Linked DNA regions of Cricetulus griseus. The protein of the gene in region 1 purifies or fractionates together with the protein of each later gene. This does not show direct contact. Links are inferred from orthologs where the notes say so. Each region holds a gene or a part of one and is shown in the gene's direction. Other genes may lie near its edges.

Region 1 (4,284 bases):
TAATCCAGCTGTTTGCCAAAAGTTCTTGAATATGATTTAGCTGCAGCCATATTTTCTATGGTGGATTGCCATATTTATTTTAACTATGTGAATCTTTCTATTTATACCACATAAACTTGCATTTTGTGATAGACTGAAGGATTCAAATCTGCCTTTTATTGTCATGTTTGCTTTAGTTGTCACTGAAAAAGGAACATTTAAGAACTGTAATGATATGAATTGCTAGGCATGGTGGCATGAACCTATGATCCCAGGGACATGGAGGCAGGCGAATTGGGAGTTCAAAGTCACCTTTTGCTAGACAGCTCTGTTTGAGTCTAGCCTAGGCTGCATGAGACCCCTGTCTCATAAAACAAAACAAATAAACTATGAAATGAGATTTAAAAGAATGCATTTGGCCTTGGTTTCTGCTTCAGTTCCTTGCTCCAGGTTTCTGCTTTGAAATCAGGTTTCTGACTTCTCTTCATGATGGACTGTGACTAGGATATGTGTCCAAATAAACCCTTTTCCCACAAGTTGCTTTTGGTCAGAAAGTTTTATCACAGTGCTACAAAGCAAACTAAGAGAAGAAGAAAAGAAAAAAAAGTACTTCATAAAAACATTGATGATATTAATTAGGAGATGAATAGAGGAGTTGTTGGGAGGAAGGGGCACAATGGTGACCATTGCTGATATGTCAGAGTACTACAAGCTTCCTGCCCAGAGTACATAGGATAATGGTGTTTCGTGGATTCTCATGTCATCTGAGATAGGGCTTTTGAGATATGGGTTCAGTATGTACCTTAGGCTGGCCTTGCAGTCACTGATTCCTCTCTTTCTACCTCCCAAGTGCTGGAATTACAGGTGTGAGCTACAAGCAAACTTGTACTATAAGGGATGTAATACCTGTACTTTCTTCACTTCCAACTTATCAAATACTTCAAATTGTATCGCAAACTTGGGATTCTGGCTCATTTGTAATTGTTTCTAAGTCTGAACACATGCTTTCTGTTCTTTGACATGTCTTTCCCGAAGTTTGGAGTTTGGAGAAAAAAGCTTGGGCAGGCTTGACTTTTAAAGTAGCCCAACACTGTTCAACTGCAAAATGTATCTATTTTAGATGAAGGTGTTTGTTTTGAACTTAGCTTTCTAAAGACTTTAAAAATGCTCAACATAGTTCACTATCTTTTCAACTCTGCTCTTAGTCTTTGGGAAAAAAGAGGAAGTAGTGACTGCTTAAGGACAAGCAGCAGTATCACACACACACACACACACACACACACACACACACACACACACACACACACACACACACACACACACACGAAATCTAGGATCAGTTAGGTCACACGTTTTTAAAGCATTTATCATGACTTTAAAGGCTCGATTCTGAAAACTAAACACGTACATTTAGGATGTTGCTCTCCACTAGAAGAGCTCGCCCTGGCTTGAATTCCACCTTAACATCCAGAGTCAGTGAGACCAGCCCACTCCTTAGCTCCGCCTACCAGGGAGAAAAGACTTTCTTGAAGTCGGAACTGTGAGGGGATCCCGCCTGACAGAAAACTAGAGGCACCGAGAAGCCTGAGGACTCTCATTTAACTTTGGGAACTGTAAGCATTTACTCTCCCTGCTTGCTCCCTCTTGCGCTCTCCCCAGCTATCCGTGGGCAGCTCTCGGGGTGGAAGGCAGCCACTCGTGATAAAACCTCACTGCTTTCACTCCTCTGCCTCTGAGAAGGATTCACCGAGTAGGCTTCAGTCCCCTTCTTACCGATGAGGACTCGCTTCCCTGCATCTCAGAGCAGGTTGAAATAAAGGGAGAAATTGTTTCCTTCAGCGGTTGCTGGGAAATTTAGTATTTATAGAGAAGTGAGTTGGCGCGTCTTTGTGTTCCACGTGATGCCACCCAATGATTGCTGAGGACTCCTGCACTTGAGTTGCATGTTCCTTGGCAGTGGAGATGATCAAGAGGTAGTTTGGTGACTCATTTAATTTTTAATTGTTAAAAAAAAGAGTTAAATCAGTGACTTCCTGGGTATCTAATGTGTTGCTGTGTTATGCGACAGGCAATACTGAAAAACTAACCGTGAACTACCAAGCCTTGCTGTTCCCTTAGTCTTTGGGCAACTTACCTGTCCTGATAAGGAGAACAGGTCAAAACTTTTCTTGAAAATACTTTCTCAAGTTGCACGCTTGAATTTTGAGCGTGACTACTGTTTTAGAATTGTGATGCAAAAGAAGGAAGGCAAAAAGGCATTGGATTTTGAAATAATAGCGACCAAATCTGTTTAGGTCTTGAAAACTTATGATGATTTCAGTCTTAAATATATTTTCATCACTTCAAAACCTAGGTTTAAAAAAGTGCCCGGCTTTTGGCTGATGGTGTAGACTGCTTTCAGTGAAGGGATTGGAGAGTGTTAGAGACATGCCCCTTAGAATGGTGATTCTAATGTTATATTTGGGATTCTAGTTTGGGAAAGGGGGGGCTGTATTTTGTTTTGTTTCCCTTTGTTAGGTACATTTGAAATTGCAGCCAAAGAGATTCACAGGGAATTTAATGAAATAACCTATAGAGTTTGAAATTATTTCCCAGGTATGCTGAGAACTTGCTAATGAAGTTGGGGTTTTGATTTTATTGAACTCAGGAAGAGTTGAATTTTAAATTAAGCAATAATTGTGTAATGCACAGAGAAGTATTTAATCTGCCTTTTCTCACAGTTTTACAAACTTTCTCTAAGGAACACATATTTTATGGGAAGAGAAACTTTCATTTTAACAGTGTAAGTTATTTTTATAGCATTTCATATGTATTTTAAATAGGAAAAATAAATAAAATAAAAATAAATAAATAAATAAATAAATAAATAAATATCTTAACCCCTAGTAAAGTTCATGCCCTGTTTTTAACACTTGTCTTTCTCATGCTGTCACTTAGAAAGCAGGGTCCTAAAGCTGATTGTTTGCACATTAATTAACATGTTCCAGGAATAAAAAAAAGAGGAAGACAGAACTTGCATGGTTCCTTTTCCTCCCCTCCTATTTACCACCACACCCCCACCCTACCCCATCATTGCTTGTAAATGATATTTCTTTTACTCCTTTTCTTTCTCATTGATCACTGACTCCTTCAAAACATTTTGAGAACTCTGGAATCCTCCTAGGATAATGTATGTGTGCTCTTCCAGTGCACACAGATCTGAAAGGAAGAAATTCACACATTTCCCAAAGGAATGACTGTTTCCTAGAACTTTGCATTTTCTGATAATTCATCAAAGTTAGGTAGCAAACTATTCCACTTGTAAGTATAGGATTACCTAGCTGTCAATATTCCAGTGTCCACACTGGCATTTGTTCACTAATGTTTAGGAATTCTAAACACCTTAGGGCCATGAGCAGCCCCTTGTCTAGAAAGCAAGTGACCTAGATTCTAGACTCAACCCCAATAATAATCATTCATGAATTATACCTGTCATTTTTTGCAACTTCTGATTAATCTTTTTACTTGACCATAATATACATAATGGAGAAACAGGCGCATTTTTTATTGGATCATGAAGTATATATGTGTATTCTACTTTTACTCTAACATTCTGAGTTATATTTTCCAGATTGATCACAAGTTTTAATATTATTACCTGTTACGAAGGTAATTCACACCCACTGTCAAAATCTTGCTAAATAATAGATTAATGCAAAGAACAAAATAAAAAAAAACACACTTATTCTCCTCTAAGGACTTACTTTTAAATGACTTTCATGCATTTATTTACTTTCTTAGTATTTATTGATTACCTAGCATACATTAGCACATAGAAAAAGAATCTGTGTATTTGTATTAATTTATGCTTTTACACGTTTGCCTTTATAATATATCTGTAGACTCACAAATCCGAGAGTTTGAATTTGGTGACATTTTCTGTGGCACTTTCCCTTGATTTGCACGATTCTATTAAAACACTTTTTATAATTGTGACTGTATATTCATCCACTTTTTCCCCCCCAAATACCATGAGTCTCTATTAGGAGTCGGATACCATTTAGCAGTTAAAGACTATGGCTTTTTCCTGTGAGCTATGTTCGGTCTATGGATATGTTGAATTGACCAATAATAAATTCTTGGATATTTAGATTGATTGCAATTTTCCACATGTAATATAATCTAGAACCATTACATTAATTTTTGTATACCTCATTATGGTTCAGTCTTAAAAGTTCATTTCTAGACTTTAACAAAAATTCCACAACTTTCCAGTAATGAGTTCATAAGTCACCTGTTTACTTAATCGCCTTATATTGTTATTTT
Region 2 (4,309 bases), on another chromosome or scaffold:
GGCAGTGGAAGGAGAGAGGAATGAAAACAAGAGAAAGAGCAGGAGTGAGAAGCATGGCCGTCAGACCAGACTTGCTTAGCAGGACACACATTTTTTTCCTTTGTGTTTGGAATGTGCTCTCTGTACCCTGCCATGCCATTCATAGGTGAACCCTGTTGAGGCCCCTTTCCCTGCCCTTCCCAGAACTCATCTCCTCTAACTGCTGAACTCTGAGCTGCAAAGCCATCAGCTGTCTAAGGATAGTCTTATCTGTATCTCAGCTACTTTGAGCCATCCATTTAGCAAATGGTATTTAGTCATCTCTCAACTGAAGCAGAGTCATATGTGGTTCTGGACTAAGGCAGCTGTAGGGCCAAGGCAGATTGGGTCTCGAACTGTATCTGATTGTGTATACCAGGTATGGAATGGGGTGTCAGCAACACTGAACAGAGCCCCCTACTTCTCAGACCAAGTCCCAAGGCCCTTGTGACAAAGTATTACCCAACTAGAAGGGGAAGACCCAACCCATCTGGAGTGGAGTTTGTGGGGTGTTAGGTGGAGTGCAGGTGCCAGATTCAGGTTCCTGAAAAGCTTGCACTCTAGTAAATGATTATGGAACTGTCTGTAGTGAGCGTTGTAATAACAGCCCCACCCAAACAGTGGAGGCTAGGCTGGGACCACTTCACCGGAGAAGTACTGAGTGGTTCAGTCATCCAACAGAGCCTCATTATCACGTTTTCCTTTGTCTTCCTTTTTTGATTTGTTATTTTGATTCTTGAGACAGAGTCTATACAGCCTAGACTGGCCTAGAAGGCTATTTTTTCCTGCCTCAGCCCCATTGCACCTCTGAGTGCTAGGTTCATAGTTCTTGGGACTTCCCCTACCTTACCTGGATCCTTGGCCTTACTTTAAAACTTTCTCCAGCACAATTCCTTGTTCTGGAACCAAGGGCATCCCCTGTGAAATTCAACTATTTTCCTTTTCTGGCCAGCCCCTATCTCTTGTGTTCTTATTGAAGTTCTCTTGAACAAGCAGAGAGCCAGTTAGCTGCTCTATTCACCTGTGTGGAACAAAACAGCTAGGGCAGGCAAGCAGGAAGGACAAAAGGGCAGACACGGGCTTCAGGAAGGGACTCTGCCACTTCATAACCAGCTGGGTAAGGAAGGAAGGAGTGGATTGACCTCAGACCTGAGAACCAGTTCTTGGCTAAGGCAACCTGACCTCACCCTCCTGAAGAGGACATTCAAGCGAGGCCAGGACTTCCTTGGCTATCAACTTGCATTTCCAGAGAGTACTAAGATGACTGTTTTTCTATTTGGGGGATCCCTATCCTGGCCATTCCTCTTCCTTCTCTAGCTCTGCAATACACTTTCCTGATGTCTGTGAGGAAAGTACAATGGGTGTCCACGCAGTTCTAACATCTGGGATGTCATCTGGAATCTTCGCCTTCAGACATGGTAGGAGAGCTCTCTGGCTCTGAATGAGGACATAGACATTTTAAACTTCACTGGTGTCTGGCTCCTTTCCTGGATTGTTAAAGGGCTGAGGTGGCACCCCACATCCTTCTTTAGGTGGCTTACTCAGTTCAGTTCAATTCCTGCACTTTCAAATCAATCCAAGCAAGGCAGACTTCCACTAAGCTCTCTGCCACCGCCAAAAACCCATATCTAGGAGTGGGGAGGTGGGGCGGATCTGAGCAGTACAGGACGAGAGGGAAAAAGGAGTGGCTCTTCTGAATTTCATGGCATTAGACACCTTGAATTGTAAACTTGTTGCTATCCAAGTCATGCAGATGAATCATGCCGGATCCTGATTGACAGTGTTCTCAGAAGTGGCATTTTCTGTAGCTGGTTCTTCTACCTTCTTGGAGACGAAGAGGAACAAGTTACAACCTTTAAATCTAACTTTTCAGTGCTAGCCTTCAGCACTACACCTTTGACTCTGTAAAAGATAATACTTAGAAGCCAGGCCTAGTGGTTCAGACCTGCAATACCAGCTACTCACGAGGCAGAAACAGGAGGATCTTGAGTTAAAGCCATCCTAGGCAACTTAGTGAGACTGTCTCAAAATAGAAAGTGAAAAGAGAGCTGGGGGATGTAGTTCAGTGATAGGAGATGGGCACAGGTGAGTGAGGTTCTAGGTTTCAGTGTGTGTCGGGGTGGGTTTCAGAACTTGGGGATCTGTACTGAACAAGCATCTGTCAGCATCAGGAATCAGACCAAAGCACACCCCGAATTCCCATCATTGCTCTTCAGTGGGGGAAGGAGCCAATCTCTCCCTCCTTCTGTACTCAAAACTATATGTGGACACTGAGCTCCATTAGGCATGGGGTCTTGATGAAACATTTGTCCCAGTTCATTATACCAGCATGCGGTGACCTAAAATTCCTTTCCTCTCTTTAAACTCCTCATCAGGAAAGACCCTTACTCTCTCACTGTACCCCCAATTTATGAGGAAAACGCTCTGTATAGTCCTACCAGAAACATATTCAGCACCCAAAGGAGCTTGTGTACCCTCTTACCTATTCCTTCCCTGCTGAACTTGAAAATGAATGTATGAAGCTTACTCAGGCAGAGCAGCTGCACTGACTGCCAGAGAACAAGTTCAGATCGTTAGGAGAGTATACATTTCCAGCAGACATGTCCATCTGTAAGTACATTTCTAATCTCTGAAATTGTATTGGTTCAGGCTCCTGTGGCATGGGTGGCGGGATGAAGTTTCTGTATTAACCAGGCTGGACTCGTGGCTTGTTGGGGTTCAGCCATTTCTAAGAGTCACATTTTCAGTGCCAGGGGAAATATGGAAACATCATCTTTCATCCAGTGCTTTCCAGTAAAGGAGCAGCTCTTGTCTTGCTTTTCTAGAAAGTTAGGCCTTCTTATCTTGATTAGGAACCGAGAAAAGAAGCTGACAGTCAGGCAAATCCCACATTCTGAGGTCCAGCACCTGAAGTGTCTTGCCACCAGCAAAAGACCCCAAATAGGACCTGAGATTGATTGAATTTTATTGGAAAGGTGATTAGACCTATTTTATCCTTTCCGACCACCCTCTACAGACTTCCAGCATGTGGTTTAAAGGTTAAGGCAAACTCTTTCTTTGTGTCCATTAACAGGTTTCAACAGACCTCTTCAAGATGCCGTCTCAGATGGAGCATGCCATGGAAACCATGATGCTTACATTTCACAGATTTGCGGGCGATAAAGACTACTTAACAAAGGAGGACCTCAGAGTGCTCATGGAAAGGGAGTTCCCTGGGTTTTTGGAAGTAAGTGTGGAAAGTCTCAGACCAGACATAAAAATCCAAGGTCCCTTCCCTTGTCCTTCCATTGTCTCCATCCCTGTAGGCTCACCACTTGGAAGTGTTTCATTCATTTACTTAGTAGACAGTGCTAGGATAGCACAGGGGCAGCAAAGTGGAAAAGGCCCCACCCCTGTGCTCTGATTGCAGATGAAAATATCCACACCCACTGGAACAACAAGAGGGAAAAGACTTTTCACAAGGGTGTCATGGATCAAGGTGCCACACCTCAGGTCCCTAACACTAATGACAGTGGTTTCACATTCTTGTCATATGCCACTTGAACAACTTGAATCTCCTTTGTGTGTGGGTGTGAGCTTTGTGTTGACCCTGGAGCCCCATTCATGCAAAGCCAGGGCTCTACTGGGAAACTTCCCTCTACTCAATCTACTCAAATCTTCTTAAAATCCCTATTTATAGAAAGACTTTTCTTCTTTTTCCAGCTCTAACCCATAAAGAGATCTTTTTTGTTTGTTTGTTTGTTTTGTTTTTTGAGACAGGGTTTCTCTGTGGCTTTGGAGGCTGTCCTGGAACTAGCTCTTGTAGACCAGGCTGGTCTCGAACTCACAGAGATCTTCCTGTGTCTGCCTCCCGAGTGCTGGGATTAAAGGTGTGTGCTACCAATGCTCACATAAAGAGATCTTGTTAATTGTTGGCTGAATCAGGGCAAAATGTCACTCCAGATAATTGATTTTTACAATGAAAATGTCAACTTAGGAGCCTAGAAGTATAGTCTAGGTTTTACCTCCCTTTGATCACACTGAACAACCCCTGAAGACTAGGACTCCTCAGATATGCCACTCAAGACAATAGTCAGCTAGGCATGGTTGTCTTTTGACTTTGTGGGTCCTCAAGAGACAGTTGTTGAATTTAATGCTCACCCAAGACAAAGCATAGCTTGATATAATAGCAGACTGTGGTATGATCCCTTCTTTTCCTGGAAAGAAAGGATGGTTCTTGTACTGGGTGTTCAATAATGCATTAGTTTCTGAAAGGTAAAGGTAAAAGGCTGGATCTAGCCTCTTGACATTT

Evidence for each region.
Region 2: the proteins of Pla2g4a (region 1) and S100a10 purify together in Homo sapiens (affinity purification with western blotting; 3 studies listed by BioGRID). This does not show direct contact. The link is inferred for Cricetulus griseus from reciprocal best matches to the Homo sapiens genes PLA2G4A and S100A10.

The regions. Positions count from the first base shown.
Region 1 is NC_048598.1:41,524,461-41,528,744, forward strand, and holds the start of Pla2g4a (cytosolic phospholipase A2), read left to right. Parts: upstream 1-1,461; 5' UTR 1,462-1,592; intron 1,593-4,284. UniProt on the Homo sapiens protein: Has primarily calcium-dependent phospholipase and lysophospholipase activities, with a major role in membrane lipid remodeling and biosynthesis of lipid mediators of the inflammatory response.
Region 2 is NW_023276806.1:62,480,512-62,484,820, reverse strand, and holds the start of S100a10 (protein S100-A10), read left to right. Parts: upstream 1-1,335; 5' UTR 1,336-1,433; coding exon 1,434-1,436; intron 1,437-2,870; exon of another isoform or gene 2,871-2,993; intron 2,994-3,091; coding exon 3,092-3,244; intron 3,245-4,309. UniProt on the Homo sapiens protein: Because S100A10 induces the dimerization of ANXA2/p36, it may function as a regulator of protein phosphorylation in that the ANXA2 monomer is the preferred target (in vitro) of tyrosine-specific kinase.